Ovis aries: one gene and its partners. The protein of the gene in region 1 interacts with the protein of each later gene in a biochemical or structural test. Links are inferred from orthologs where the notes say so. Each region holds a gene or a part of one and is shown in the gene's direction. Other genes may lie near its edges.

Region 1 (4,519 bases):
GCTGCCCAGATTTTCCTGGTCCACTTGCCCTCTCAACTTGAGGCCAGGAAGGGGCCACAGGTGATTTATGCTTGACCGTGTGATCATATATATGGCAAGTGAACCATATTCCTCTATTAGGATACAAATGAATAATTCTGAAGTTAAATACAGAAAAGCATAAATGAATGAAATTGGGGATTGAAGCTGTACTAATGCCTTAAACAATACTTACTGATGATCTACCATGTGCTAGAATCTGCCTGCAAAGTGGGAGACTTGGGTTCGATCCCTGGGTCCAAGATCCCCTGGAGAAGGAAATGGTAACCCACCCCAGTATTCTTGCCTGGACAATTCCATGTGTTACAGTCCATGGGGTCGCAAAGCGTCAGACAGGACTAAGTGCCTAACACTACCATGTGCTAGGTACTGGGGAAAAACAGTACTGACTGACATGATTTCTGATTTGAAATCATGTAGGGGTAGGGAGGTCTCCCCAGGTGGTAAAGAATCCCCTTGCCAGTGCAGGAGACGCTGGTTGTATCCCTAGGAAATGGCAAAAAGCTCCAGGATTCTTGCCTGGCAAATTCCATGGAGAGAGGAACCTGGTGGGCTTCAGATCCATGGAGTCGCAAAAAGTCTGGCTCTTTCAGCAGCTGGATGGGGAAAACACCTGTGCACTTACCAGGCTTCCCTGGGCGGCAAACGCCTACGCAGAGCCACAGAGATGGCTGGGGAGGAAGAGGCAGGTGATGGGGTCTGAGGCTCCGGCGTGGGGAGAACCAACTTACTGATGGCAGGTGTCTGGGGCTGGGCAGCTAAGAAAGAACAGACCTGTCACCGAAAGTCACTGTCCTCACAGCAAGGCTACGGCAACCAAGAATGGAAGCTATCCACGCACCAGGGCGCTTCGAAGGCCCTCAGACTCAGCTTATTTTGGTTTGCGGTTCAAGTTAAGGACACGTCTTACATTTTTCTCTCAGGACTCTACGTTCAGGCCTTTTTGTTTGCTTCTCATTTTCGCTCCCGTCCCTAAGAACTTTCCGCTGGTAAGACCTTCTTCAGGTGCAGAAACCAGAAGGAAGCTCCCAGAGCAGTCGGGGCTTAACTCGGAAAGCAGTCAGTTCTGTTGTGGAATCTCCTGTGGCGCTGAGGAGGAAGGCCCCAGAATAATCAGCCAGAGACACAGAAGCAACAAAACCCAGAAACTGGCAGGGCGCTTCTGTCTCTCTCACTCCCTCTCCACCGAGCAGCCTCAGCTCCACACCTAGCACAGCAATTGATTGACAGGAGGGCTCGCCCAATCCCAGAGCGGCGAAGACCGCCCTCGCGTCAGTGATAGGAGGGAAGGGGAAGACTGAACCTATCAGATTGGGCAGGGAGGGGGGGTTTCCTGTCTGCGCGGGTCCGCCCAGGGCCTCGCGACCGGTCGGCGCTGCAGCCCCGCCCTCCCGCCGCGCACGCCCCGCCTCTCTCCCCAGAGCTACGCGGCGGCAGAGCGGAGGCCTCGTGCCGTAACGGCCATCGCGGCGGCCGTGGCGGCGTCCCTGCCCTCCTCAAGTGAGCTGGCGCCGCCCGGGCTTGGCAGAGGGGAGGTGAGACGGTCCTGCCGGCAGGCAGACGCACAGACAGCCTTTTTCTCGTCTGGGGAATCTACATAGCCCGTTACTTGCCGCGGAGCTTCCTCTTCCCTGCTGAAGTTAGCTCCCGGGGCGCCGTCTGCCGGCTCGGAGCGAAGCCGGAGGGGGCGGGGAGGCCGCTTGGTCGGGCCTGGGCTTTTTGCCTCGCGGCTTCGCGCGACCCTCCGGCCACTGCCCTGGGAGGCGCAGCCCTACGACCTTCCTGTCCCTCCCTGGAGCGTCGGGTCCGGGTGAGCGCTGCGGCCGGCCGTCCCTGGAGGCTGAGAGGTCGAGTGTGTGGCGTGCACCCTCCTCCTTTTCTTTACCTCTCAAAGTCCTGACGGCTTTGTGGCGCATTCCGAGGCCGCGGTGGTGGTGGAGAGGGGCGCTTACCTCTAGGAGTGGGAGGGAGCCGTTCAGGGTGCGGAGGATGGACATCCTCGGGATGCGCCTCCCGCCCCTCCCCCCACCCAGCCCCCTGCAGTTTCCCTTGTTGGGAAATCTGGGTTATTATAATATCATGGATTCGTACGTGAGTTACTTGGGCTGTAAGCTTTTGACTTGAGTTGTAATATATCCGGGGGGAAAAATGTATCTTGGTAGTTGGTTTTGTAACCTTTCCTGTGTGTGTCCATAAAAGTTTGCTATTAGAAGCTCGGGAAGCTGAATTTTGTGCCGGACTGAGAACCCTTACTTTACAGACGCCCAGTTTAGTGTCACACTAATGAACTAGTCACTTAAAAATAATTCTGCCCGTTAACTTTGGCAAGAAACCAGGGGAGTTAGGAAAGGATGAGTTGAAGAAATTTCTATCCCCATCTTGGGTGGTGAGCAAAAAAAAGCTCACTGTTCAGTCAGGACAAGTAAATGTTGCAAGAGGTATTCATTTTTAAAAATCTTACTTTGGTAGATGTAAGAAAGACCAACCATACAGTTTATTAAGCAGATGGAAAGTGCTGTGTCTCAACCCTCAGGGAGTTTACAGAGTAAATGGGGAATTATCCAAGAAGAAGGTTCTGTTTGGTAATTGTCAGTAATATTCAGTTCTTAAATAGATATCCCTCATAGTTTGATAGAAACTCGAGATCTGTGCTTTGGTTGATTAATAGTTTTATTTCATTTTTATTGCAAACTTTACGATTTTCTTCTTTGGAAAATTCTGAACAGTTTGCAGAATGTTCAGGATTTCTCAGCTGTGCTTGTTCATATATTAAATTTTAAACTTGTTTGTTCTGTTTTTCTAAATATTTAGTCTAGATTTTACTAGTGCTTTCAGGTCCTTGAAAATAAAACATGAAACATAACAGGGTACGTTTTGTTAGATATTGAGATATGTTTTAGGCCACTGGATTTTTTGCACCTTTGAGAACTTCCCTGCCAAAACTCAAGGTAGATTTGATGCAAATGTTATAAATCACTTGTCAGGAAGACTTAATAAATCCATATCCTGTCTATTTTATTCTTTTATAGTTTAACAATTTTTACAATTTATTTACCTTTGTAATATGGAAAAATACCAGATATTTTTCTGCCTACACCAGAAGACTAAATGATTTTCTTATTTCGTCAATAAGTAGAATTGGAGGAAACTATTGAAATCACTAAGCATTTAACAAATTCTCTGTTAATACTTTGCTGTGGTGTTTTAGGAAGACAATTGACAGGGCCAAAAATGACATTTAAAGATTATTTAATAAGGCAACAATTCTGTCTGGATGTTCCTCACTTTATTTGAAAGATAGAATTTATAGTCTTCCTTCAAAACTGATTCCATATGCTGACTTTGTTTTGGTGATATTTATCATGCCTTAAACTACCCAGGCATAAGCCCTGGTTTTATCTTAAGACTTCCTCTCACCACATAACATTGCCCAATTTTTGTCAGCCATTTTCTGAAATTTCTTTCAGATATCTGTTCTAACCACTCGTTTTCTTTTTTCCCCCCAGTAGCTTTTAACCGGATTTTCTGCCTCTTTTCTCCCTTAGTATGTTCTGGCTTCTGCCTTGTTCTAAAATAGTGCTTCCACCACCCTCACTGTTAAACCAGCATTAGTTCCCTGTTATTTCGAGTATAGTTCAGAATTCCCAGCCTTCTAACAGTCTGCTCAAAACCTGTTTTTTTCTAATGATAACAGTAATTCTCTATAGGAGCTGTCCATCCTAACACAAACCAATCTCTTGTTCTCATCTAGATTGTGTATTTTCCTGCCTTCATGTCTGTTGACACTTTGCCTGTTTATTGCTAGTATTTTTTAAAAGAAATTTTCCTCCTTAAATTAAGTGGCAAGTAAAGTCAGATTTTGTTAACATTTCACATTTGGTCCTTCTGCACAGCCTTCTAGATCTTTCGGTTTCTGTGTTGTTGCTTTCCTTTGAACCCACAGCCCTTACTGTTTTATCATTTCTTTGGTTTTTAATATGTGGACTTGTATTATAATACTACAGAACAATATTGTGGGAATGTTGAATCCATCCTTCCATTTTATACATAGGGAAAATGTAATCCATACAGACTAAGTTCACTGAAATTCACCTAGTGACCCTGGCAGAGCTGACTTACATATACCTTAATTTCCTACTTGATTTCCTAACTCAAGTTCTGTGTATTAAAATTTATGTGTGTATTCTTATGAAGCTATACTTCTTTTCATCTCTTGCAGTGTCATTTTGTATTGTTTGCTTCACATTACTTTGCGTTTTGTGTATTGGTTAGATTCAGAACTTCTGTATGAGGGGAGGGGAACATTTATGACCTGAATTGTTTGAATCCTTGAAACAGTGATTTAAAGTCTACAGGAAGTCTTTCTCTAGCTTGTTGGGTATATTAACAGCATTAACTAAAATAATATTGGCGTGTCCACTGTTGAGTCCTATGACCCATTAAAAATGAATCTCTTACAAGTTTTACTGTTGGATTTTAG
Region 2 (4,537 bases), on another chromosome or scaffold:
AGATGTTTTTCTGAAACTCCCTTGCTTTCTCCATGATCCAACACATGTTGACAACCATAACAGAGGTGCCTAAAGGGCCCAGGAAGGCCATTTCTCACAGTGAGTTTCATGGGAAACACAGTGGAGGGTGTGCAAGCCAGGCAGCCTGGCACACCCATGTCCTGACCTTGAGAGCTGCAACAGTGGCCCAACTCCAGCTGACTGGGTTTGCAGACAGGGCCTCCAGACTGCCCAATATTCTAGTGTTTCAAAACCCAATATGACTATAACATATATGGACTATCCCAATTTTTCTGAATGGCCTACACAACAAAAGTTTATTTTCTCAGTTCTGGATGATAGAAGTCCACGATCAAAGAGTCAGTAGGGCTGGTTTCTCCTGAGTCCTCTTTTCATGGTTTACAGATAACCACCTTCTTGCTGTGTGCTCACTTGGCCTTTTCTGTGTACATATGCCTCCCTGCTGTCTCTACCGCTTCTTCTTTTTTTCAGGAAGTATTTATTTCTTTATTTTTGGCTATGCTGGCTCCTTGTCAGTGTGTGGGCTTTGTCTAGTTGTAGACAAGCATGGGCTTCTCATTGCCGTGACTTCTCTCTTTGTAGAGCATGGGCTCTAGGGAACGTGGGTTCAGTGGTTGCAGCTGTAGGGCTTAGTTGCCCCATGCCATGTGGGATCTTCCTAGAGCAAGAATGGAATATGTGTCCCCTGCATTGCAAGGCAGATTCTCAACCATTGGACCACCAAGGGAGCCCTCTACCTCTTCTTATAAGGACATTAATCATGTTGGATTAGGGTCCCACTCAGACTACCTCATTTAACCTTAATTACACCTTAAAGGCATTATCTCCAAATACAATTACACTGGGGATTGGGATTCGGTGCTTACACTTTGGAAGAACACTATTCAGTCCATAACAGCAGTCCACTGTGAGTCTCAACGGTAATCTTTTGCCCCAGGCATCTGTGGTTGGTTTATCTTGTGCTTTTCTGGCCTAAGTTTTAGACTCAGCAAAACAGAGATGAATGTCTGCATTATGGACTATCCCGTTTTTTGAGGAGGACGGTAAATAGAAATAAACAACATTGTAAGGCACAAGCAAAGCAGGTCTGAGGGCTCTGTGAGGCATATGGCCACTGGTTTGCAATCTCTGATCTATTATAGAGTAGGCAGGCAAGTTTGTAACCTGTAAACTACGGTGCTTTGCTGTGTCAGGGTAAACAGTACTTGGGTGTGGGGGAGGGATGGCAGCAGGGGGTGATTCCCTCCTGCCAAAGGTAAGACCCAGAAGTGACTCCTCTGGCCGTGACTCGGTGCTTTCGCCCCACAGGCCACTCTCCTTGTAGCTGAACAGCGGCCGGAGCCTACAGAGCTGCGCTGACGCTACCCCCGTCTCAGGGCCTGAGGACAACGAGCCCACCCTACCAGCCTTTCAGGGAGCAGGGCAGCAGCGACTGGGGTTTTGAAAGCTTTCATCAGAAAGTTGTGGGCGGAAACTTCCGGGGGTTTGCTCTGAGCTTCTTGAAGCTTCTCAGGTTCAGATGCAGAGTGAGTGGGTGTCTCTTTGAGAAGCAGAAAGAGAGAACGAAAGAGAGGTGTTTCCCTTGGTTCTGGAAACTCTATAAAGAGAGAACCGGCTTCCTTCTCATGAGCAGTCAGAAATAGGAGTCCGGCCCTTGACACCTGGGCCTCCGCACGACTGAGGAAGAGGAAAACCCTTGGCTGGGGGCTGGCCTGAGGCACTGGATACCATGCAGCAGCCCTTGAATTACCCATACCCCTCAATCTTCTGGGTGGACAGCAGTGCCAGCTCCCCCTGGGCCTCTCCAGGATCAGTCTTCCCCTGTCCGTCCTCAGTGCCAGGAAGGCCGGGGCAAAGGAGGCCACCACCACCGCCACCCCCAACACTACCGCCATCGCCACCCCTGCCTCCACTACCGCCACCACCTCTGAAGAAGAGGAGGGGCCACAACACAGGCCTGTGTCTCCTTGTGGTGTTTTTCATGGTTCTGGTGGCCCTGGTTGGACTGGGGCTGGGGATATTTCAGCTCTTCCATCTGCAGAAGGAGTTGGCCGAACTCAGAGAGGTAAGCTGCCTGGGGGATTGCCGCACCCTGGAATGTGCGGAGGTGGGGGATGGGGTGAAACTGCCCTGCTGCAGTGGGGGAGGAGGGCGACAGAAATCCACATGGACCACACTTGGCTTGCAGCATACTTCTCAATCCTTTCTTCCTGTCTTAGAAATGAATCACGCTAGCCATCCTGTTCTGCCTGCAGAGAAATGGGGGCTCAAATGGGTGGAAGGAATATTTTCTATCTTGGGAGGGATCAGGATCAAATCAGGACTGGCAGATGATCAGTTGGCTGATCATCTGAGAGAGGAAGAACTCTGCTACCTACCTCATACTCGATTCAAGAAAGAAAAGGGACTTGGCATCTGAGAAGTGAATTTGTTCAAATGCACAAACTAAATTTCCTTGAAAGTGCTTAAAATTATTAGAACTATTTCAAATCACAAAACTGAGGCATGGACAGGCACAATTGCTTGGCCAGAGTCTGAGTTAGGAGAGGTTCTGGGTGCTTAGATTCCCTTTCCAGTGCTTAGTTTATTTGACAGTTCTTCTTCCTTTGCTTAAAGAACTTCATCAGTTCAGTCGCTCAGTCGTGTCCGACTCTTTGCGACCCCATGAATTGCAGCACGTGAGGCCTCCCTGTCCATCACCAACTCCTGGAGTTCACTCAGGCTCACATCCATTGAGTCAGTGATGCCATCCAGCCATCTCATCCTCTGTCGTCCCCTTCTCCTCCTGCCCCCAATCCCTCCCAGCATCAAAGTCTTTTCCAGTGAGTCAACTCTTCTCATGAGGTGGCCAAAGTACTGGAATTTCAGCTGTAGCATCATTCCTTCCAAAGAAATCCCAGGGCTGATCTCCTTCAAAGTGGACTGGTTGGATCTCCTTGCAGTCCAAGGGACTCTCAAGAGTCTTCTCCAACATCACAGTTCAAAAGCATCAGTTCTTCGGCGCTCAGCCTTCTTCACAGTCCAACTCTCACATCCGTACATGACTACTGCAAAAACCATAGCCTTGACTAGACGGACCTTAGTCGGCAAAGTAATGTCTCTGCTTTTGAATGTGCTATCTAGTTATTATGTATCTTTTCTCTTTTGCCAGTCCACCAGCCAGAGGCATACAGCATCATCTGTGGAGAAGCAAATAGGTGAGTTTTTTTATGCTTGCACGTTGAGTTTCTAAAAACAGTCCTCAGCACCAACCATGTTGGAGGAGTACCTTGAATTCCACCTTATTCTTAGGCATATATAGACTATAGAAGAGAAATCCTAACCAATTCTGAAATCTCTTGTCATTTTGGTTCTTGAAACTGCCCTAAAATATGAAGTGAGTTTAACTGTTCAAAATTAGTTAAGTATCACAGAAAAATTCAAAACTAATTTCTGCTTGAATTTGGAAAGAGAAACACAGATGTACAACCCTGGACCTTTGCCCACCCCCCACACCCCAAGCAGCTGGCTCCAGGCCTGCCCCCTTCCTCAGGCCTCCTGATTCCCATGTACAGGGCGGTGGCTATAGCTCCTCAGGAGAGAAGGGAAGGTGCAGACAGACACAGCTGTTGCTGGGAAAGATCCTTGCTCTCCTATTTAATCTCTGTACTCTTGCCTGGAAAATCCCATGGATGGAGGAGCCTGGTAGGCTGCAGTCCATGGGGTCGCTAAGCGGACATGACTGAGTGACTTCACTTTCACCTTTCGCTTTCATGCATTGGAGAAGGAAATGGCAACCCACTCCAGTGTTCTTGCCTGGAGAATCCCAGGGATGGGGGAGCCTGGTTGGCTGCCATCTATAGGGTCACACGTAGTCGGACATGACTGAAGTGACTTAGCAATAGCAAAAAAAAAAAAAAAAAATTACTTAAGAGTCAGACCTGATTTAAAATTTTAATAGGTTATATTTAAGCTTTTAAAGAGTGGGCAACCAGTCATCCACATTAGGGTGGTTCTTTTGCAGCCGCTGGAAAGCTTGGAGGAAGACGTTAGGCATTTTACAGAGGGTAGTCCCACTTCACTCAGAGACAATCATGCGCTGCTTTTGATAATAAAGGGAAATCCTCTGTGTGAAATTCAGGACAGGAAGATGACAATGTTGAACATCGGCCTCCTAAAGTTTCAGGACATAGTTTTGGAAACTGTGGATTTAGAATACTCGTTAAACTAAGATGGAAAGGAGGTTAGAGAACATCTGGTCCAGTCTTCTCACCTTTCAGAAGAGAAGCAAAACACCAGATGGATTAGTAATGTCCCCAAGACCTCTGCTGTGGAATGGGGCTGAGAAGGAGCTCAGGCTCCTGATGCCTTGCCACCTCCAGCTCTTACCAGTGTGTGCTCCGGCCCTGTGACACAGGGAAACTCCTACTCCTATCTATCTCTGATGGGCATGGAATGAGAAATAAGGACGACAGGCAAGATGCCTCTGCAAAGAGAAGACAGCACTGGTCATCTAGTTGGGGAAGCCTGCTCCAAA
Region 3 (3,805 bases), on another chromosome or scaffold:
CACTGGACAGAAAGAGCCATATGTCAGGGTATTTGAATTTGAGCATCAGTGTTGAGATAGGATTAGCATTCAGGGACCAGAACTGGGGAGAAAGACAGAATTGAGAGAGATACTGGGGAAGACATGTCTGATGTTGGGGTCAGAATTGAGGGGACAGATGGTCAGGGTTTGCAGGTCAGAGATGGGAGAACTACCAGAACAGGGGAAGTCAGAGGCTGGTGAGAATGAGACCAGCTCAAGGGAACTGGTCAGGGTTTGAGTTCAGATTTGTGAAAACAAAGGCTGGAAATGTCAGTGTGAGGGGAGAGTAGAGAACTGAAGGCACAGAGCATCAGTGTTTGGGGTCATATGCGGTCTGGGAGGCCCCGTGTGATGGAGTAGGTCCTAGCATCATCGTGTGTGCCCCCCTAGACCAGCACCTGCTCCTGGGGGCCGAGGAAGGCATTTTTATCCTGAATCGAAATGACCAGGAGGCTACGCTGGAGATGGTGAGGGGCAGTCCCTGGGGTGGGTCAAGGGGGGCCAAGGGTGGGGGCTGAAGTTGGGCTTGCTGGGGTCTTACAGGAGCCATCTCCCCCTTGCCCTGCAGCTTTTTTCTGGCCGGACTACCTGGGTGTACTCCATCAACAATGTCCTCATGTCTCTCTCAGGTCTGGCTGTGGCTTGGGTGGGAGGGGTGGGAGTCAGAACTTAAGGGGTCAAAGGTAAGGAGGTTGGGAAATAGATGGGCACAGAGAAAACAATTAGGCTCCCCCTTCACAGAGCCTACAGTTCAAATTCCAGCCACCTTTTCAGTGTGGGACTTGGGGCAAGACACTTCTTCCTAAGCCTCTGTTTCCCCATCTTTAAAATGGGGCTCACAATAGTGCCCACCTCTCAAGTCAGTTTTGAGGTAATTTCCACAAGAAGTCAGTCTTTACCTTTCTTTGATGTTGACAAGATGACAATACTTGTTCCATGCTTTGCTAAAATGGAGTGAGCAGGTTGTGGATTAAAATTTTGTGTCATTGTTTTATAAACACCTTGTGTAAAAGAATTTCTAATTTATGAGGAGACCCCAAGCCAAATAGAATGAGTGAGCTCATTCATATCACATCTGTGATGACAAACTTTTGCAGAATTTCTAGATGTTCCTTGTTAAACTTTGTAATACGTGTAACTTCATCTGATTGTTAAGTGTCTGTCATTTCTCATGCGGCCACAAGTACTATGAGGGTAGGGAACATATTTATTTTACTTACCATTGTTCACCAGAGCCAAGCACAGTGCCTGGCCTATAGTGGACATTTAAAATATGTTGCACTGCGACTTCCTGGTGGTCCAGTGTTTAAGACTCCACACTTACACAGTAGTGGGCATGGGTTCAATCCCTGGTCAGGGAACTAAGATCCCACATGTCGTGGGGCACAGGCAAAAAAAAAATTTTTTTAACATGTTGCATGAAAAAATGAATAAACAAAGGTGCCTGAGTCTTGAAGACTTGGGCATTTAAAAGGGATGGGGCCGAGTGATGGGCTGAGGGAAGGGTGGGAGTGTGCAGTAGCCTATAACTGCCTGCTTTCCCTATGTACACACACACTGCAGGAAAGACCCCCTACCTGTATTCTCATAGCATCCTGGGCCTGCTGGAACGGAAAGAGGGCAGAGCAGGAAGCCCCATCGCTCACATTAGCCCCCACCGGCTACTAGCAAGGTACCAGCCCCTAGTGGTACCACTGACCCCTCTAATGCCCCATTCCTGCCGTCCCTCGCCCCCATTCATGCCTATCTTCTGCCGCAGGAAGAACATTGTCTCCACTAAGATCCCGGACACCAAAGGCTGCCGGGCGTGCTGTGTGGGTGAGAACCCTAGGGGTGGGCAGACAGGGGGCAAGACCAAGGGTGGGACTTGGACTCCCTCTCCACAGGAGAGGGTTGCAGAGTTAAGGCAGGGTGAGTCGAGCCTGGGGAGAGGTGTGTGGCCTTTGGGGGCGAAGGGTCGCGGGAGAGACCATTGACCGCTCCCTACCCGCCTCCACAGCGGAGGGCACCAGCTCCGGAGGCCCGTTCCTGTGTGGGGCTTTGGAGACATCCGTGGTCCTGCTTCAGTGGTACCAGCCCATGAACAAGTTCCTGCTGGTCCGGGTAGGGAGCCTGGAGACGCTAGGGGCTTTGTCAGCTTGGGTGGCTGGGGCCGTCTACTCTACGCTTCCGCAGCGAGCTCCGCGAACCTGGGCTTCCACCCGAGGCCTCCCACAATCTCCCCAAGGCTCCGCCCACCTGGAGGCTCCTCCCCTGAAGTCTTTCTGATCCTTAAGCTCCGGCCCTCACGCCACCCGTTACTTTCTAAGCCTTCTGAGGCCTCACCTCCTTGAAGTTTCTAGATGGTGCTTCCCAAAACTGAGGGCTCGAGAAACACTTGGCGAGGGGGGAGAAATACTTCGGAAGCTCCAAGCTCACTGTCCTCCAAGACCCCGCCCCTCAGGCCCCGCCCCCGCCCCGCCCCCTCATCTGAACCCGCCCCTCCCTGCGCGGCCCGCAGCAGGTGCTGTTTCCGCTCCCTACGCCTCTGCCGGTGTTTGCACTGCTGACCGGGCCAGGCTCCGAGCTGCCCTCAGTGTGCATCGGCGTGAGCCCCGGAAGGCCGGCGAAGTCGGTGCTCTTCCACACCGTGCGCTTCGGCGCGCTCTCCTGCTGGCTGGGCGAGATGAGCACGGGTGAGTCGCGCAGGCTCTGGGACGGGTGAGGCTTATCAGTTGGGTTGGGTTGGGTCTGAGTGACTGGGCGGTGCTTAGCCTGAGGCGTAATTGGGAAAGGGGATGAACCGTGAGCGGGGCGGGAGAACATTGGGTATATATAATTAATGAGATTGATGATGGGGAGTGGGGAATTCTGTGATGGGCGGGGGTTAGCCCGATTGCTTGGGAATGGAGAGGGGGGCCTAGCGGAGGAAGGCATAATGCGGTGAAATTGGTCCCTGAACCTGGATCTCTCAAGCAGAGCACAAGGGACCAGTACAGGTGACTCAGGTTGAGGAAGACAAGGTGATGGTGTTGATGGACGGTAAGAACCTTCCTCCCTCCCTTGCCTCCACTGTGCCTAGATACCGACCCCCAGACCCCGCACCTCTGAGAGATTCTGAGCCCCTCCAGTCCTTACTCGTCCTGCTTTGCTTCTTACACTGAACGTATTGTCCTGTCCCTTGATAACCTTCTCAAGCCCGCTTACTGCTCTTACAGTCCATTCTCTACCTCCTTCTAGGGTCCCTGAAGCTGGTGACCCCAGAGGGGGCCCCGGCCCGGGGGCTTCGAACTCCAGAGATCCCCATGACTGAAGCAGTGGAGGCCGTGGGTATGTGCCGGAATGATAATTCCGGGGTCTGGGGTCCAGGTTGGAGGCTTAAGTAGAGCCCAAGGGTAACAGGCGCTGCTTTCCTCCCAGCTATGGTCGGGGGTCGGCTCCAGGCCTTCTGGAAGCATGGAGTGCAGGTTTGGGCTCTAGGCTCGGATCAGGTAAGCTCCTTCCTCCTAGCACCCGCAAGCCCCTCCCACGTCAATCATCTCACTCATCAGATCCATTGGGAGAACAGACTCACTCAGGGTGTAAAGTCCCTGGAGGTGACACTTCTCTAGGCTCAGTTCAGACAGGTCCCCGTCTCTGCTCCAGTGTCTCTTGGGACCAGAGCTCAACCAGGGTCACTGTGTGACTTCGCTTCTTTCTGAGCCTCCCTCAGACTCCTAACTGTAAAATGGGGTCACAAATAGAGACAAGTGGGTTAAGAGCATGGACCAGACTACCTGGGTTGGAATCCAGCTGAATGATTTTA
Region 4 (4,336 bases), on another chromosome or scaffold:
GACATATGCTGTGAAATACTAATTTAAGATATCCATTAAGGCAAAGAACATTCAGTACATTTCTAACTTCAGTAAAACTTTTGGTAGTTTCGGTAAATGACAACTTAATGGAATTCTGCAAATAGAACTGAATTTTATCTGTTTTATGTTTCAGCAACAGGGACACAGTCTCAGTCAACCTTATATTTAACTTATCCTTAAAGCTTATAATCAGGCCAAGAATTTTTTTTTTCCTATTTAACAGGCGTATAAATGACTTGTATTTATAAAGTTACAATTCTTCTTTTCTGTCCTGAGCACTAGTCACTGACTGTATCTCTATATTTTGTTACTTTGAAGATGTTGTGTGTCTACTTATGATTTTAGGACATGTTTGTATAAAAGCAGGTCTACTTCAAATCACATAAACTTATAGCTATGATTCAATTAGCATTTGATAGCATAATGACAATTTATACTTCTAGATATAATGTACTGCAAACAGTTTTAGTTGTATTATGTTAAGTATACATAATATTTTTTTTATCTTAAGATGCTTGTAAAACCTAAGAATGGGATTAAAAACTTTGGTGACTTTATATTCGAATATATCACTCAACCTGAATATGTTCTTTAGCTTATTTTAATAAAAGTTAGAACTATTTCTGTCTCCTAATTTTTGTTCAACTCAGCTATTAGTCTGTTGACTAATACTTTGTATTTAAGTGAGAAAAACTGTCATCTTCGTATATTAATTCCAGAATTTGTTATTTTATTTCCTATCAGTTGGAATATCTGAATAGCTGATGTAGCAAACTATTCCTTTTGTTGCCTATGGCTGGGAATTTTTACAAATGGAAAACTAGCAAAAACTTTTCCAGTCTGACCGGCTTGATGTTTATCTCTGAGAACATCTTTACAGCTTTACTTTGAGGCTCTAAGATTCTTTTTCCTTCAGTTCAAATTTTTCTCTGGCCCTTTACCATACTTAAGCTGCAAGATGTTCTTGTATCTTCAAGCCCAAGCTAGCTTCTGTTATAGGTTTAAAAACACAAAAAGGCTCAAGACCAAACTTAGACTAGTGATCAGAGAGAAAAACAATTGATAAAATAATGAATGAGTCACTATTTAAATATACTTCAGTTCTTTTATTTTTTTCTGAACTAACCTTTCTGCTTTCATTATTTTTAATAGCACTTATGTAAAAAGAGTGTGGTCAATTATTTCCAATGGTAGCTACAACAATTTCTCTGAACCTACATCAGTTTTACCATGATACTTTCCACTCCTCTTATCAAGAGATGAAATCTCGCTCCCTCTCCTCATCTTATGACCTGTGTCTTCCTTAGATGCCCTGTCCCATTTCTGGGCTTAGCCCTTGAAAGGTCTGGCAGCTTCTTCCCCAGACAGAGAAGTCCTCCATTTCTCTCTGAGGAAGCCAGCCTCCATGCTGTAAAGAAGCTTGAGCTAGATACAACTAAATGATAAGACACCACATGGAGAGGAAGAGGCAGGTGGAGGAGCACCACGGGGGCCAGTCATGTGAGTGAAGCCTTCCTGGACTTTCCAACTCAGTGTAGCCACCAGCTGAAGATCCCCAGATCAGCATCCCTAACCAGCATCAGGTAGAACAGAATAACTGCCCAGCTGAGCCCAGTCAACCTACCAACTATAAGAAATAATAAACCAGTGGTTTTAAGTCACTACTTTCCAGGTTGGATTTGATATGCAGTAATAGATAACTGAAACAGTATGTTTTTAAATTGTATACTGTTTAGTGGAGAAACATATTCTCAATTTATATGCAAACTTTAACTAAGGCATAAAGTTATCTTTTTAATTTTGTTGAAGTATAGTTGATTTACAATGTTGTGTTAATTTCTGCTGTACCTCTAAGTGATTCAGTTATATATATATATATATATATATATATATTCTTTTTCATTTTGTTTTTTCACTAGATATTGAATATAGTTCCCTGTGCTAAACAACAGGACCTTGTTGTTTATCCATTCTATTTGTAATAGTTAGCATCTGTTAATCCCAAACACTAGAGAAAAAAAAGGCAACTCATTCCACTATTCTTGCCTGGAAAATCCCATGGACAAAGGAGCCTAGTGGGCTACAATCCATGGGATTGCAAAAGAGTCAGACACAACAACTAAACAATCCCAAACCGCCAGTCCTTTCTTCCCCAGCCCTCTCCCCTTTGGCAACCATAAGTCTGTTCTCTCTGTGAGTTTGTTTCTGTTTCATGAATGAATGAATGAAAGTCACTCAGTTGTGTCTAACTCTTTGCAACCCCATGGGCTACACAATCAATGGAATTCTCTAGGCCAGAATACTGGAGTGGGTGGCAGTTTCCATCTCCAGTGGATCTTCCCAACCCAGGGATCGAACCCAGGTCACCCACATTGCAGTCGGATTCTTTACCAGCTGAGCCACCAGGGAAACCTTTCTGTTTCATAGATATGTTCATTTGTGTTATATTTTTAGATTCCACATGTAACTGATATCATATGGTGTTTCTCTTTTTCTTTCGGACTTATTTCACTTAGTATGGTAGTCTTTACCTCCATCCATGTTGCTGCCTATGGCATTATTTCATCCTTTTTATGGAAGAGAAATAGTTCATTGAATATTCACTGAATATCTGTGAATATTCACTGAAAGGACTGGTGCTAAAGCTGAAGCTCCAATACTTTGGCCACCTGATGTGAAGAGCTGACTTATTGGAAAAGACCCTGATGCTGGAAAAGATTGAAGGCAAGGGAGAAGGGAGCAGAAGAGGCTGAGAGGGTTGGATAACATCACCAACTCAATGGACATGAATTTGAGCAAACTCTGGGAGTTAGTGAAGACAGGGAAGCCTGGCATGCTGCAGTCCATGGGGTCACAGAGAGTTGGACACAATTTAGAGACTCAACAACAACAAAACATTCCATTGTATGGAATACCACATTTATTGTATTCATTCTTATCCATTCGTCTGTCGATGGACATTTAGGTTGGTTCTACGTCTTGGCTATTGTAAATAGTGCTGCTTTAAACACTTTTTACATGTATCTTTTCAGATTATAATTTGGGGGTCAGATGTTATTTAGCCTAGAATATACTCTAGGGAATCTAAAAATCCTTCTTCCCGGTTACCCATTGGCCTCTGTCTTTGATTCTTATTTATCTTAGTCAACACTGCTCTACTTCCCAGGGGGAAATCATCTTCTCATAAAACATGTATAACCACCCTATGGGGGAAATCTAAAGCACCATAATGAAGAAATGGTCCAGACATTGTATTCTATCAAATCTATGATTACATTCTAGCTAGAAATTTGCTTGATATCTTCACAGTGATCCAATAGGTGATTTCCTTCTTTTTGCAAGAAAAATATTTACATCTATGTTAGATAACTGGCTAGATGCCAGACTACTCATTTTCTATCTTTTGTCACCCTGCCAAAAAATATATATATGTAAGTAGTCAGTCAGTTTGGGTCTTGATGAGTGTTCTTTAACCAGTGCTCTTCACTCATTATCACACTCACTAGACATCAGCTAGGTCATCTTCTGGATGTTAGCGGAAAGACTGATCTACACTGAATGAGCTTCTGCTCATAACCAAAGATCTCTAGCACATTTGATTCTTCAAGGTAACTGGTGCCATTGTCTTTCCACATTTGCCCTCTTTCTCTTTTAACCTGAAAGGCATCCAACCAGAGGTCAGATTTTGGCTTTGTCACTTACAGGTCATGTCCTTTTATCATCAGTGTCTTCAACTCTAAATGAAAATTTTTAACAACCTGAAGTTGTTATAAGTATTAAGTGAAACAATTATGTTAATATGCTTGGTAGCATAAGGAGCTATGTAAATACTGATTATTATTTTTAATACCTTCTATAACTTTTGAATATATTCACTTCTACAGTTTGATATGTGATCCCTTGAAATAAATCCATAGAGTTGTTTAATTACACTAGTTGCCATGTTCTCTCCCAAAGAAGTAGGAGAACTCATCTTACTCAACAATCTCCTGTCTTCCATTTGGCAGCTCTTGCATTTCTAACATGAGAAAGAGCTTACCTTCTAGCAAATAAAAATGTCAAGTTTTTCTATGTACACAACTTAGTTTATTGGCACTATTTTAAATGTCCACATATTACCTAACAAACACTGTCAAGTACTAGGAAGAAACAGAATCTTAAAGCCCTCAGTGGAATATGTAACCACGAAGACAAATCCAGTTAGTGGGATTTAGCCAAAAAGGCACAAATTAAGACCTCACCAGAAAACCTAAAGACACCAATACAAGCACCACGAAATAATCTGGCCATGACTCTGAGAGATTTGAGAGATTTC
Region 5 (4,301 bases), on another chromosome or scaffold:
AAACATTCCTTTCTTTTTTCCTCCTCCTTGATTATAAACTATCTATGTGACCTATGTGATAATTTATGGAGATTTGTGTTTTGTTCTCATTCCTGCTGGTGATTTATCTCCCTACCCCCAAGAAGGCAGCCAAGCCCTAATGTTCCCTAAGCTGAAGGCTTCTAAGTTTCAAATCTACAAATCAGCAGTTTTTAGGCTCCCAGAAGACAATTTCCAGAAATGCTTTTGGAAAGCGTGGGTTTATTAGGGGAACAGATCCAGAAGGAAAAGGGATGAGAGCAAATGCTTTGAATGAGAGAAGAAAAAAAAAAAAAATCTGTGGGGGGAAGGGTTAGAGAAGGTACCAAGTGTTAGAGTTTATGGAAAGTAAGGACCTAGCCTTCATCTGCATATAGCACCCCAGGATAAGGAGTAGGCTGTGGGAGACTGTCCACTATAATGCCTTGGCCTTGAGAGCTGTGGTAAGGGTCTATCTCTTTGAGCAAGTGTAGAAAGATGATTTACAGCAGGAGGATTAGCACTCACATCAGAAGAAGCCACCCGAATGATGCAACCATCACAGATTAGAGCTGGCCTCTACCCCACTTTTTTTGTGAAAGAAACACAATCTGCAGAAAGCAGTACTATACGCAGAGAGTTAAAATGCTTCACCTTTCAGACGACTTCTCTGATCAACAACGGCTAAGTCTAAGAACCCACTATACTGGAAACGACAGGATACGACTTCTTGGACTCCCTGTTTCGGTCTGGGGCCCTTTTCCTGGCTGGATATTAGGTCCCTGATCTGAACCCTCCCTCTTAGTTTAACTCCTCCAATAGCCTTCAGTCTTTCCACTGACCAGTCCTTCCTCAATGGCCCCCTCCAAGTCTGGCCGCATCTCCACCCCTCAACCCTACGTCAGACTCTCCCTTAGTCGTTCCTTCTTCACTCTAATCTCCCTTGCGCCTCTCACCCTCGCCTTCTTCTGCCCAGTCAGCCCCAATTCCCTCTCCTTCCCCTCCCGCATCCCCCGGGAGGGTCTCCTTTCATTCTTCAGTAACCACTCCCCTCCCCACCCCGCGCCCGACCCACCGACTGAGTACAGGCACCCCCCCTCCACAGCTCAGCCGTTGGAGGCGTGGCCCCGCGAGTAACAGGTCTCCCGCCCCACACTCCGCGGGCTCGCGCGCAGACAAAGACATTCCACAGCCCCCGCCCCCTCTGTGCGCTCGGCCAGAAGAGGGAGGAGACACGTGTCCCGCTAGCGCCGAGTCACGTGGAAAAGAAACGAACGGAGCCCGCGGCCTCCCGCGCACGCGCTCAAGTACCCGGCCTGGAGGGCTCGGAGGGAAAAGGGGAGAGAGGAGGCGACTTCTTCAGACTCCACGGCGGTGCGCAGGCGCCGTGGCCCGACCGGGGACTTTGTTCTCCGCGGAGAGACCCAAGGGCGGTGCCGGTGGCTGGCTGCGCACGCGCGCCGCCTCATTTCCGGTGCTCTCTTTTGCTGGGTCGCTCGGGTCGGCTTCGGTCGCTGTCGCTCCCGCTCTCCCACCCCCGCCAACCGCCGCTCGGGCCGCCGGCGCTCAGGCCTCTGCCGCTACCGCGTCGCTTCCTCGATCCCTTAATCGCACATCTTTCCCAATGCAGCGCCGGGACGACCCCGCCGCTCGCATGAGCCGGTCCTCGGGCCGCAGCGGCTCCATGGACCCCTCAGGTGCCCACCCCTCCGTGCGTCAGGCGCCCCCTCGGCAGCCACCGCTGCCTCACCGGTCCCGGGGAGGCGGAGGAGGGTCTCGCGGGGGCGCCCGGGCCTCGCCCGCCACGCAGCCGCCACCGCTGCTGCCGCCCTCGGCCACCGGTCCCGACGCGACAGTGGGCGGTCCAGCGCCGACCCCGCTGCTGCCCCCCTCAGCCACTGCCTCCGTCAAGATGGAGCCGGAGAACAAGTATCTGCCCGAACTCATGGCCGAGAAGGACTCTCTTGACCCGTCCTTCACTCACGCCATGCAGTTGCTGACGGCAGGTAAGCGGGCCTCTGGGGTCCCTCTGGGTCTCCGGGCCAGCCAGGGGCATGGGTGGTAGCGGCTTTGTTCCTCTTGCTTCCCGTTCCCTGAGGACCTCGGCAATCGTGGACTCCTCTCATCTTCATCTTCGGAAGCTTAAGATTCCACGTTCCCATCCCGGCCCAGAGTGCGAGGGAGAATTTCCAGACGGCAGTGGAGGCCCGGAGGGAACTTAGCCATCTCTTAGCGCAAAGATCTTGATGGATAAATGCCGCGTTCCCCGCCCCCTTGGCCGACCCTTCCTCCTCCCCTCTTGCAGCTGCCCTGCGCTCCGAGTGCTCAGATTCTTCCAGAAAGGAACCTTCATCTCCCCCTTCCCCCAAAGGGGAAGCTTGTTTGATCGCGGGTGGCTGTCGGCGCCTCAACTGAGTGTAGGAGGTGAAGACAGCCTGAGCCGGGAGGGACCGTGAGTGGGGCGGGGGGCGAGGTGAGATGGGATGAGACTGGGGTGCCCTGTCCAGCGCCGCGGCCGCAGGGGCCGGTCGGACTTAGCGGTAACTGGAGCTTGAGTTGCTTGGAGGCAGGAGCAACCTGTGGGAATCCGAGCTTGAGGTTTTCCGAATTATATTTCCGACCTCGGCAGATAAGATGGTCATTTCTGCCTAGCCAGACGTTTTGGATCCCTTTATTTTATAATGTGTGTTGTGCATTCAAGAAAGGGGAAAAAAATAAACCTAGAGACGGTGAAGGGGTGATAGAAGGAGGTTAAGGATGGTTTGCGTGGCATTCCCAATCAGATGGGGAAAAAAATTGACAGAAGTTTGCGTGGCCTCCTCCCCCGCTCTTCTCAGTAGTGAAACAGACGAGGAATAGTAGTCTTTGTTCTCTTGTCTGTAGACTAGCGCTCCTTTTTTGCGCAAAACTAGCCATCATCTAGTCGCTCTGATTTCTCCTGAAAACCGCCTATTTTGCCCTCTCTTCCTGTTAAAACGGTATAATGAGTGTCTTATGATACCTAAATTTTATAAGCAAATAAAAATTCAAAACCTTCCAACACTGAGTGAGTAGTTGGACTCTTTGGCAGGATTGAAATAATGGACAGGCCCTATATGAAAATATCTTTTTCCCTGCGTTTGTTCTCTGTCTCCCAACATTAGAGATCTTTACTTTTAAACAGTAAACAAAGCCCCAGACATTCAAGAATAACATTTAAATAAACTGCTTACGGCTTCAGCTCTGTGCTTTGCTCTTCTATAACACAGTCAGATTGTTTGAAACATTACTGTTCATTGTGTTCTTCTGGCAAACTCTTTGAGGGCAAGGAAAGCTTTTTAAATCTTATTGTCTTGCATATAGCAAATACCAGTTGTTTGAATCTGAAAGCAAGTACATGTAGGTTCAAGAACCTCAGACAATGGTAAAAGTTGACTGGGTTTTATTTTTATTTTCTTGCATCTTCAAACAGTCCAGATTAAATGTATAGAATAAAATAACAAACTTTAGAACTGTAAGGTGTTGACTTGGCTTTGAAATTCTAGCTCTTGACTAGTCATCTATTCTTGGGAAACTTTTTGAATCTCACTAAGCTCATCTGTAAAGTGGGGTGGTGAGTTGTGAGGATTAAATGTTGTATAAAAAGCTCTGGCACAGTTCCTTTTGACCTGTAATCATTAGCTAATAACTTGCCACCAGTTTTCTCCTAGTTGTAAATTCGTGGTACAGATTTAGGATGAAAACGCAAAAATTTTCTTGCTATTCTACGCACATCAGGTGTCCAGTGCTAGTCTAGTCTTTTAAGTAAAATACGATTTCTTAGAATAGCTATCAAAAACTCAATCCTTATAGTGAAAGTTTTAGTTGCTCAGTCATGTTCGACTCTTTTGTGACCCCATGGACAGTGGAGCTTACCAAGCTCCTCTGTCCATGGGATTCTCCAGGCTAGAATACTGGAGTGGGTTGCCATGCCCTCCTCCAGGGGAATCTTCCTTACCCAGGGATTGAACCCAGGTCTTCTGCATTGCAGGCAGATTCTTTACCATCCGAGCCACCAGGAAAGCCTGATCCTTAAATAAAATTTTCACCTCTCTCTTACTGCTTAACTTTTGTCACGAGAGAGCGTGCTTTAATTTTTTTTTTAATTTGAGCTTTTTTCCCCCTCTCACTTTTTAAAAAACATATGTATTTTATTTATTTGACTGTGTCAGGTCTTAGTTTTCACCAATAAGCTTCATTCCTCTGTGGCATGTGGGATCTTAGATCCCAGGGCCAGGTATCAAACCTAGGTCCCCTGCATTGCAGGATGGATTCTTAACCACCGG
Region 6 (3,805 bases), on another chromosome or scaffold:
AGGGGGTGAGAAGAGTCAGAGAAGCAGCATTTCCCCAATTCAGGTCCCTCTCTGACGCCTTAAGCCCGACCCAACTTCACATCTGTTCTTTTTTGTCTCCACAGCAACCCTACCTTTCCGCAGAGCGCCTCCCTGCCGCCATGCTTCTCTCAAGGTTTGTTCTCTGCGCTCTAGTGACCGACTCTAGCCCATATGCCGTCGTCCCAAAGCCTTTCGGCAAAAGTTTTGTTGTTTCCTAAAAGCATCCGACTTCATTATTCAGCACTTCGGTTTCTGAAGTGTACCAAAGGTTGCTGTAGTGATAGGATACTCCACACAACAACAAAAACAACACACAGACACACACACTCCTCCGCAGGAAGGCGCCCTTGGCTTTATCTTCCCAGGCGGAACTTTTCTTCCCGGCTGTTTTTATATGATGCTTAGGATGGTGCTAGCTTTCTCTGTAGTTTAGATTTCTATAATGAATCTAACCTGGAGTGCTAGTTGAGGAACATGTTTAAAATACAGATTAAGGGACCCCCAACCCCCAGGATTCTGATACAGTAAGTCTGGCTGAAGACCTGTATTTTCTAATAATATTTCCTTTGGGTGTCGATGGTAAGTATTTCTTGAGAGAGTCCTCAAACTTTAAAAGGCACGCAAATCCCCTGGGAGCTATGTTAAAATGCAGATTCTAATCAGTGGGTCTTGGATGGGACCCAGGGTTCTGCATTTCCAGCAAGTTTCCATGTGATTCCCAAGTTCCAAGTTCCCAGCTGGTATTGCTGGTTCATGGACCACTTCAAGTAGAAACAAAGGCCTACCCAGTAGGACTAGCTGTGTTTATTTTCTATCCTTAAGGACTTGCAAGTGACTAGTACATGGTAAGCACTTTAAAACATTTGTTGAATGACTGTCAAATGACTATGGAGAGTCACCCAACTCTAGTAAACAATTTTTTCTTCTCATGCTAGAAAACACATCTTGTGTTACCAGATTTTCTGATTTATTTTTCAAGAAAACATAGAAATATGGCTTTCAATGTGAAATTACCTAATTTTTAAAGATTGACTTAAGATTTAAAAATTCTGTGAGGAAAAAATAAAACACTTTTTTTTTTTTGTAGTCATGTACACATGCAGGAACATTAGTTTGTGTTATAAACAGAAAACTAATAAGTTTAAATTTTCACTTAAGAGTCGACTCTTTCTTTTAGGGGCATGTCTATTACATTCAGTTGGGTACATCATGCCATATATGTATGAGATTCTACTGCTGACACCAATGAAACCCACTGTATTTTCAATGTTTCCTAAGCATTTTAGGATATAGTGTCCTTATTCACTACATGGCTTCCACAACTCCCCCCACCCCTCAGTGGCCACAACTCATTATTTTGTAAACCTACTTTGTGTCCCTAGCCTGGTCCGTCCAGGCATCTGAGCTTGAGACACTTCACTTATAGCAGTATCTGCCAAAGTAAATTCCATAGACCCCTGCTTCTATGAGTTGGTGACAGAGATTATTAATATAAACAGTTGGCTTTTATTATTTTTTTGAATATAATCATCCCTCTAATACAGGAGGGGGGATTGGTTCCAGGACCCCCCACTGATAACAAAATCCCAGGATGTTCAAGTTCTCTGTATAAAATGATGTCGCACAGTTGGCCCTTCACATCCACAGCTCCACATCCACAGACCTGGCTAACCCATTGGTTGAACCAGTCTGTAGTCGGCTGAATTCACCGATGCGGAAGCCATGAACGCAGAGGGCTCACTCTACTACCTTAATCAAAATCGATCCCTTTTCTCCCAAGAGTGCCAGGACACCTGGTCCTCAGTCTAACCCACTGGTTCCCCAAGGTCAGGAAGATAAAGCATGTGCTTTATATTGGCCAAAAACCTGTGCCAGTTCCCTTGAGGATCTATTTATTAAGGGTGGAGGGTGACTGCAATGAAAAGTAATATGTTGTCTGTCATGAACAGTGACTTTGTGGTGCTGACCTGCAGATGCAGATGGAGAATAATTCCTCAGTTCTAAGACAGCCATGCCCTGTAGACCTTCATTGCATGACTTTCTCACGTAGCTAGATCTCACTCACTCAGCAAGCATTATACAATGTTGCACTGCAGAGATTGTCATGCGGAAGGTCTGCTCAGGCACTGGGAGCCTTAAGAAGGAAGATCAGCAGCTCAGGCTAGCCCCATCTGCATCTCGAATAATCCTGACTAGGAAGACTTGGACTCTTCAAGTAACTCTCCCCTCTCAGGGGCCCTGGGGCAGGCGATTTACCCTCTGTGGTGTATTAGATGTATTAGATGAAGTAACAGAGCTGGTGCAGAACCACCTGGAGTGCTTGTTAAAGGCAGATTCTTGAGCCTGGGTGATTCAGGGTCCCCCTGGAATTCTCTTTTACGCACAGTCATATTTGGGAACCACAAGCTCAAGTTCTGGCTCTGCCACTAAGACACATGATTTGTTTAGACTCTCTGAATCTTTGTTTCATGATATTCAAAAAGAAGACAATACCCACCTTGTGGAGTTGCTGTGAGGATGAAAGGTCATGCACACAGGTGTCTTATTCAGGGCCTGGACACAGCAGTGCTGAAAAAATATCTGTTGAATGAACAAATGAGTGATGCATGAATTGTTAAGAGAACATTCAACTCACGGACTTTACCAGCCTGAAATAGCTGTTCTGGCATATAGAGACAGGTTTAGCAACTGCAAATCAACACAATCAAACCTTCCCTGAGATTAGGAAACACATTCTCTTGAAAAATTTCATGGAACTGTCAACAAGGAAAAAAAAAAGCATTAGAGAAGATGAGGCACAAATGCTGGGTAATTTACAGACTCCGACACAGGCTTCCTGATGGATCAGATACTGTCAGGGCCTCCTTCTATGTGAGTCTAACAGTTCTACTTCTAAAAGAAATTTGGTCAAGAACAGCAGGTAGTAAGCTCTGGCTCTGAAATCTAAGAATATTCAAGGTAATTTCACCTCATCTTGGGTAAGTCACATGTCTTGTTGTGAAAATGAGAACATAATTATCCTGACCTCCACATTTTACCATTTGGTGGTATATATGTAACTTGCTCAGTTAAGCAACCAATCAAGTGTGCGGTGTAGTGTCTCAGAATTTCACTGGCATGGCTGCAGAATAGGGCCCGAAACAGCCCTTGTGGTTTTGAACAAGTGAAAGTTATTTTGGAAGCTGTGGTTTCTTGAAACGTTAATTGCTGGGAACAATGGCAAGGGCATTGTGGAGGGCGGGCAGTGATGGGCTATGACTAGTGAAAAATTGCTTAAAGTAAATTAACGTTCAAAATGCTATACTTTCAAAGGCCCCCTCAACAGACCACTTCCCAGAGTGGAAGGCAGGAACTTCTCGCCAGTTCCCAGCAAACCTAGACCACAGTCCCCTGGGGAAGAACAGGTAATAAGGCATATGTTCCTATTTTATTTCTACACCAGCAAACGAATCATCAGAATCTTCCACTGAATAGTCTCCTATACTTTTATTTTCTTTTACTCTTAATTTTTTTAGTGAAAAATATTGAGGGGAGAATTCAGTTGAAAAATATTCTTTTTCCTTGATGTTCCTCTTCCAATGGCAAATGTGTGTTTCACATTAAACAGAAAAATAATTCTATTTTTCATCTATTTCTTAGTTTATGACATAGCATAAGTCATTTAACTGCTCATTAACCCAGTGTTTTTCATTAAATATATTATTATTCTAAACTGAAGAAATTATTACATCTAAATCTTTCCTGCTTAGAGACTCGATTATCTATGAATGCTTATTTACCTCTA
Region 7 (3,805 bases), on another chromosome or scaffold:
CATGACGAGTGTGCAGGGGGCTGCTCAGGCCCTCAGAACACAGACTGCTTTGTACGTACCGATGCCACCACCTGACTGTTCTGAAATGGGGCGTGGGCTTTGGGGAGGAAGTTAGGGTACATATGTAACATGAGTCTTATAAGCCTTCTGTGTTCCTAGGCCTGCCGACTCTTCAATGACAGTGGGGCCTGTGTACGCCAGTGTCCACAGCCTCTAGTCTACAACAAGCTAACTTTCCAGTTGGAACCCAATCCCTATACCAAGTATCAGTATGGAGGAGTGTGTGTAGCCAGCTGTCCCCGTAAGTGTCTGAAGGGAAGGAACAATGGGAGTGGAACCAGGATTTTATTCTTTTAGCCTTTTTTTTACAAAAATTTATGTATTTATGAATAGTAGCGCTGGATCTTTGTTGCTTTGCGCCGCTTTCTCTATTGCGGTGAACCGGGTTCTTCTCTTAATTTCAATGTGTGGGCTTCTCATAGTGGAGGCTTCTCTTGTTGAGCAGCATGGGCTCTAGGCATAAAGGCTTCAGTAGCTGTGGCTCGTGGGCTCTAGAGCTCAGGCTCAGTAGTCGTGGCACATAGACTTAGTTGCTTCACTGCATGTGGGATCTTCCCAGACAAGGGATTGAATCTGTGTCTCCTAGATTGGCAGGCAGGTTCCCGTCCACTGTGCCACCAGGGAAGTCCTATCCATTTTATTTTTTTAATATTGTTTTTGCCACACTGCACAGCATGTGGAATCTTAATTCCCTGAACAGTGATTGAACCCATGCCCTTTACACTGGAAGCACGGAGTCTTAACCATTGGACCACCAAGGAAGTCCCTGACAGGATTTTATTTAATCTTATTCTGTGTGTGTTTGTGTGTGTGACCAGCGACCTGCTGTTTTTAAAATATAACATTTATTGCATAGATGGTTTGATACAAAAGAGCTTTTCTTCTCATTTTGAATTTGGAAGTACTATATGACTGAAAACAAAGAGGAAGGAAAAATACCAAAACTGAACTTGGGATTTTCTGTTCATGTGGTATAAACCAATTTTGTATGTAACATGTAGCAGCAGTTTTTAAGTTCCCTTTAGAAAAATATGAATTCCACACATTTGTTATTTTGTCCTGTTTAATTCATGGGCTGAAATCATTAGGATCAACTTCTTTCTAGAGGAAAGAGAGAAACAGAATGGAAGGAACAGTGAATCTTTCTGAAATCAGCATCCGACTGACACATAGCTTCCCCGGAGCTGGTGGAAAAAACAGTCCTTTGGGTTTTCTGTTTTGTTTTCATAGCCGGATGTTTTATGTAGTGATTGAATCTCAGCATCATGTCCATAAATCACAGAGAAAAACAAAACAGAGAAACTTGCACCTCAAAAAACTTTTAGGAAGATCTATTTATGTATCTATACCTATATACATACACATATATATATTGGGTAAAAACCCTGAGAGAAGGAGAAAGAGAATCAAAGAAAATGTATAGAAACAAATTAGCTGGACATGCAAACTAAGCTATGATTCATCCAGAGTTTAAACAAATCAAATTTCACAGTTTAGTATTGGGGGAGGGGACAGAACAACAAACAAATGATACATCTTCCAACTTCACTAATAAAATGTGGCAAGACTTTTATCGACTTCAAGGGTATGAATGAAGTCTAAATAAAACTTTAAATCAGTGGTGATTATTTTGAGTGGCAGTCCTGGCCATGTTGCCAGGCTGGTTCCTGCTATATATCTTACCCCAGGGGTAAGCACATTCTACTCCTTAAGTTGTGCTTCCTCCCACAATATTAACCAGGGTTTTAGATGAAATTTTTTCCTTTTTTTGGCCATGTCCTGACTAGGGATCGGACTCAAGCCTTCAGCAGTGAAAGCACGGAGTCCTAATCACTGTACTGCCAGGAAATTCCCTAGATGCAATTTTAGGAGGTGAAATGGATCAAGTTGGGAGTTTAATTGAGAGTGTAAAGGGCAATGGGTTGTGATCATCATCACCCTTAACAAATGGCCCCTATGTCCTGTTCCCCGTATCTGTTTCCCCATGACTTCCACCAATTGCTTCTAGTTCTGCTTTTGGGATCCAGAGAGCAAAGGGCCTTTCTAATCCATGCTTAGAATCCAGCACTTAAGGAACCTCCGGTGGTCAATTGGAGCAAATCCATGCAGATAAGGAGGGAGGCGGTTCAGCTGGTAGTTGGCAGTGTTCGTCCCTCATCTCTTTCCTCTTTCCTAGATAACTTTGTGGTGGATCAAACGTCTTGTGTCAGGGCCTGTCCTGCTGACAAGATGGAAGTAGATAAAAATGGACTCAAGATATGTGAACCTTGTGGGGGTCTGTGCCCGAAAGGTGAGTAAGAGATTGAAAGGAGTTGGTGAAGAGACACCCTTTCCCCTGAGACTACTCAGCCCCGACCCCTCATCCCCACACTGAGCCTCTTCTGTTTGCAGCCTGTGAGGGGACAGGCTCTGGGAGCCGCTTCCAGACTGTGGACTCGAGCAACATTGATGGATTCGTGAACTGCACCAAGATCCTGGGCAACCTGGACTTTCTTATCACTGGCCTCAATGGGTTAGAGATTCTGTTTTCATCCTCTGATCCCCAACCCCATCAACCCCCTCACAGTTCATTGCACTGGTTCAAGCCTTCATACGGGGAGCTGATCAGGAAGTTAGATCATAAAATCTTAAAGAGATCACAAAGGACCTGGCAGTGCTTAATCCCCCAGGGCTTGAATCCCCTCAGACACCCCTGAACAACCCAGCCACCTGAATGGCAAGGGACAGGGACAGAGTATCCTCCTTCTTAAAGGTTTCTAAATGTTCTTAAGTTGGATACAAATCTTTCTCCCCATGACTTCCAGCTGTTTCACCTAGTTCTGCTCCTTGGTATGGAGCCACAAAGAGCAAGGGACATTCCAGTCCACAGGACAGCGTTTACAGTGAGTGAGTGTGTGTGTGTGTGAGAGAGAGAGAGAGAGAGAGACAAAACGTTAGGACCACTTGTCTTTGGACAATATTGTATCTAAAGTTGCAAAAAATGGTACAAAGATTTTCCATATGCTCTTTATTCAGATCCCCCAACGGCACCCCACTCCAGTACCCTTGCCTAGAAAATCCCATGGGCGGAGGAGCCTGATAGGCTGCAGTCCATGGGGTTGCACGGACATGACTGAGCGACTTCACTTTCACTTTTCACTTTCATGCATTGGAGAAGGAAATGGCAACCCACTCCAGTGTTCTTGCCTGGAGAATCCCAGGGACGGGGGAGCCTGGTGGGCTGCCATCTATGGGGTCGCACAGAGTCGGACATGACTGAAGCGACTTAGCAGCAGCAAGTGTTAACAGTGTACCATAAAAAAAGGAAAGGAAAGTGAAGTCACTCAGTCCTGTCTGACTTTTTGTGACCCCATGGACTGTAGCATACCAGGCTTCTCCATCCTTGGGATTTTCCAGGCAAGGGTACTGGAGTGGGGTGCCATCGCCTTCTCCAGTGTACCATATGCTTTATCATTTCTCTCTCTACACAACACACACACGCACACACACACACTCATTATATATGCTCTTGTTTTTCTGAACCACTTGAAGGTAAATTTCCAGACATGGTGTCCTCTCACCCCAGTGACATTTCAGGGTGTATTCCTTGAAAACAAGAACGTTTTCTTACTTAACCACAGTACATTTGTTTAAATCAAGAAATTAGCAGATACAAAATGTTATCTAATTTACAGATGTTAATCAGATTTCTCTTGTTTTACTGATGTCCTGGATCAAACGTGTACATCCATTGTCTCTTCAGTCT

What was found.
Region 2: the proteins of NCK1 (region 1) and FASLG form a complex in vitro, tested with the Homo sapiens proteins (2 studies listed by BioGRID and IntAct, with this or other methods). The link is inferred for Ovis aries from reciprocal best matches to the Homo sapiens genes NCK1 and FASLG.
Region 3: the proteins of NCK1 (region 1) and MAP4K1 form a complex in vitro, tested with the Homo sapiens proteins (2 studies listed by BioGRID, with this or other methods). The link is inferred for Ovis aries from reciprocal best matches to the Homo sapiens genes NCK1 and MAP4K1.
Region 4: the proteins of NCK1 (region 1) and SOS1 form a complex in vitro, tested with the Homo sapiens proteins (2 studies listed by BioGRID). The link is inferred for Ovis aries from reciprocal best matches to the Homo sapiens genes NCK1 and SOS1.
Region 5: the proteins of NCK1 (region 1) and KHDRBS1 form a complex in vitro, tested with the Homo sapiens proteins (3 studies listed by BioGRID, with this or other methods). The link is inferred for Ovis aries from reciprocal best matches to the Homo sapiens genes NCK1 and KHDRBS1.
Region 6: the proteins of NCK1 (region 1) and LCP2 form a complex in vitro, tested with the Homo sapiens proteins (2 studies listed by BioGRID and IntAct, with this or other methods). The link is inferred for Ovis aries from reciprocal best matches to the Homo sapiens genes NCK1 and LCP2.
Region 7: the proteins of NCK1 (region 1) and ERBB3 form a complex in vitro, tested with the Homo sapiens proteins (2 studies listed by BioGRID and IntAct, with this or other methods). The link is inferred for Ovis aries from reciprocal best matches to the Homo sapiens genes NCK1 and ERBB3.

What each region holds. Positions count from the first base shown.
Region 1 is NC_056054.1:252,944,858-252,949,376, reverse strand, and holds the start of NCK1 (cytoplasmic protein NCK1), read left to right. Parts: upstream 1-1,458; 5' UTR 1,459-1,574; exon of another isoform or gene 1,575-1,849; intron 1,850-4,519. UniProt on the Homo sapiens protein: Adapter protein which associates with tyrosine-phosphorylated growth factor receptors, such as KDR and PDGFRB, or their cellular substrates. Maintains low levels of EIF2S1 phosphorylation by promoting its dephosphorylation by PP1.
Region 2 is NC_056065.1:39,430,863-39,435,399, forward strand, and holds the start of FASLG (tumor necrosis factor ligand superfamily member 6), read left to right. Parts: upstream 1-1,540; 5' UTR 1,541-1,750; coding exon 1,751-2,086; intron 2,087-3,172; coding exon 3,173-3,218; intron 3,219-4,537. UniProt on the Homo sapiens protein: Cytokine that binds to TNFRSF6/FAS, a receptor that transduces the apoptotic signal into cells. Involved in cytotoxic T-cell-mediated apoptosis, natural killer cell-mediated apoptosis and in T-cell development.
Region 3 is NC_056067.1:47,742,670-47,746,474, reverse strand, and holds part of MAP4K1 (mitogen-activated protein kinase kinase kinase kinase 1), read left to right. Parts: intron 1-411; coding exon 412-488; intron 489-589; coding exon 590-650; intron 651-1,584; coding exon 1,585-1,693; intron 1,694-1,780; coding exon 1,781-1,839; intron 1,840-2,020; coding exon 2,021-2,124; intron 2,125-2,521; coding exon 2,522-2,696; intron 2,697-2,976; coding exon 2,977-3,042; intron 3,043-3,240; coding exon 3,241-3,330; intron 3,331-3,420; coding exon 3,421-3,491; intron 3,492-3,805. UniProt on the Homo sapiens protein: Serine/threonine-protein kinase, which plays a role in the response to environmental stress. Appears to act upstream of the JUN N-terminal pathway.
Region 4 is NC_056056.1:85,013,767-85,018,102, forward strand, and holds the start of SOS1 (son of sevenless homolog 1), read left to right. Parts: upstream 1-1,392; 5' UTR 1,393-1,521; intron 1,522-4,336.
Region 5 is NC_056055.1:235,469,421-235,473,721, reverse strand, and holds the start of KHDRBS1 (KH domain-containing, RNA-binding, signal transduction-associated protein 1), read left to right. Parts: upstream 1-1,464; 5' UTR 1,465-1,621; coding exon 1,622-2,003; intron 2,004-4,301. UniProt on the Homo sapiens protein: Recruited and tyrosine phosphorylated by several receptor systems, for example the T-cell, leptin and insulin receptors. Once phosphorylated, functions as an adapter protein in signal transduction cascades by binding to SH2 and SH3 domain-containing proteins.
Region 6 is NC_056069.1:2,324,663-2,328,467, reverse strand, and holds part of LCP2 (lymphocyte cytosolic protein 2), read left to right. Parts: intron 1-104; coding exon 105-154; intron 155-3,333; coding exon 3,334-3,425; intron 3,426-3,805. UniProt on the Homo sapiens protein: Adapter protein primarily involved in signaling pathways within T-cells, as well as other immune cells such as platelets, mast cells, and natural killer (NK) cells.
Region 7 is NC_056056.1:163,445,603-163,449,407, reverse strand, and holds part of ERBB3 (receptor tyrosine-protein kinase erbB-3), read left to right. Parts: coding exon 1-51; intron 52-159; coding exon 160-301; intron 302-2,236; coding exon 2,237-2,350; intron 2,351-2,451; coding exon 2,452-2,572; intron 2,573-3,805. UniProt on the Homo sapiens protein: Tyrosine-protein kinase that plays an essential role as cell surface receptor for neuregulins.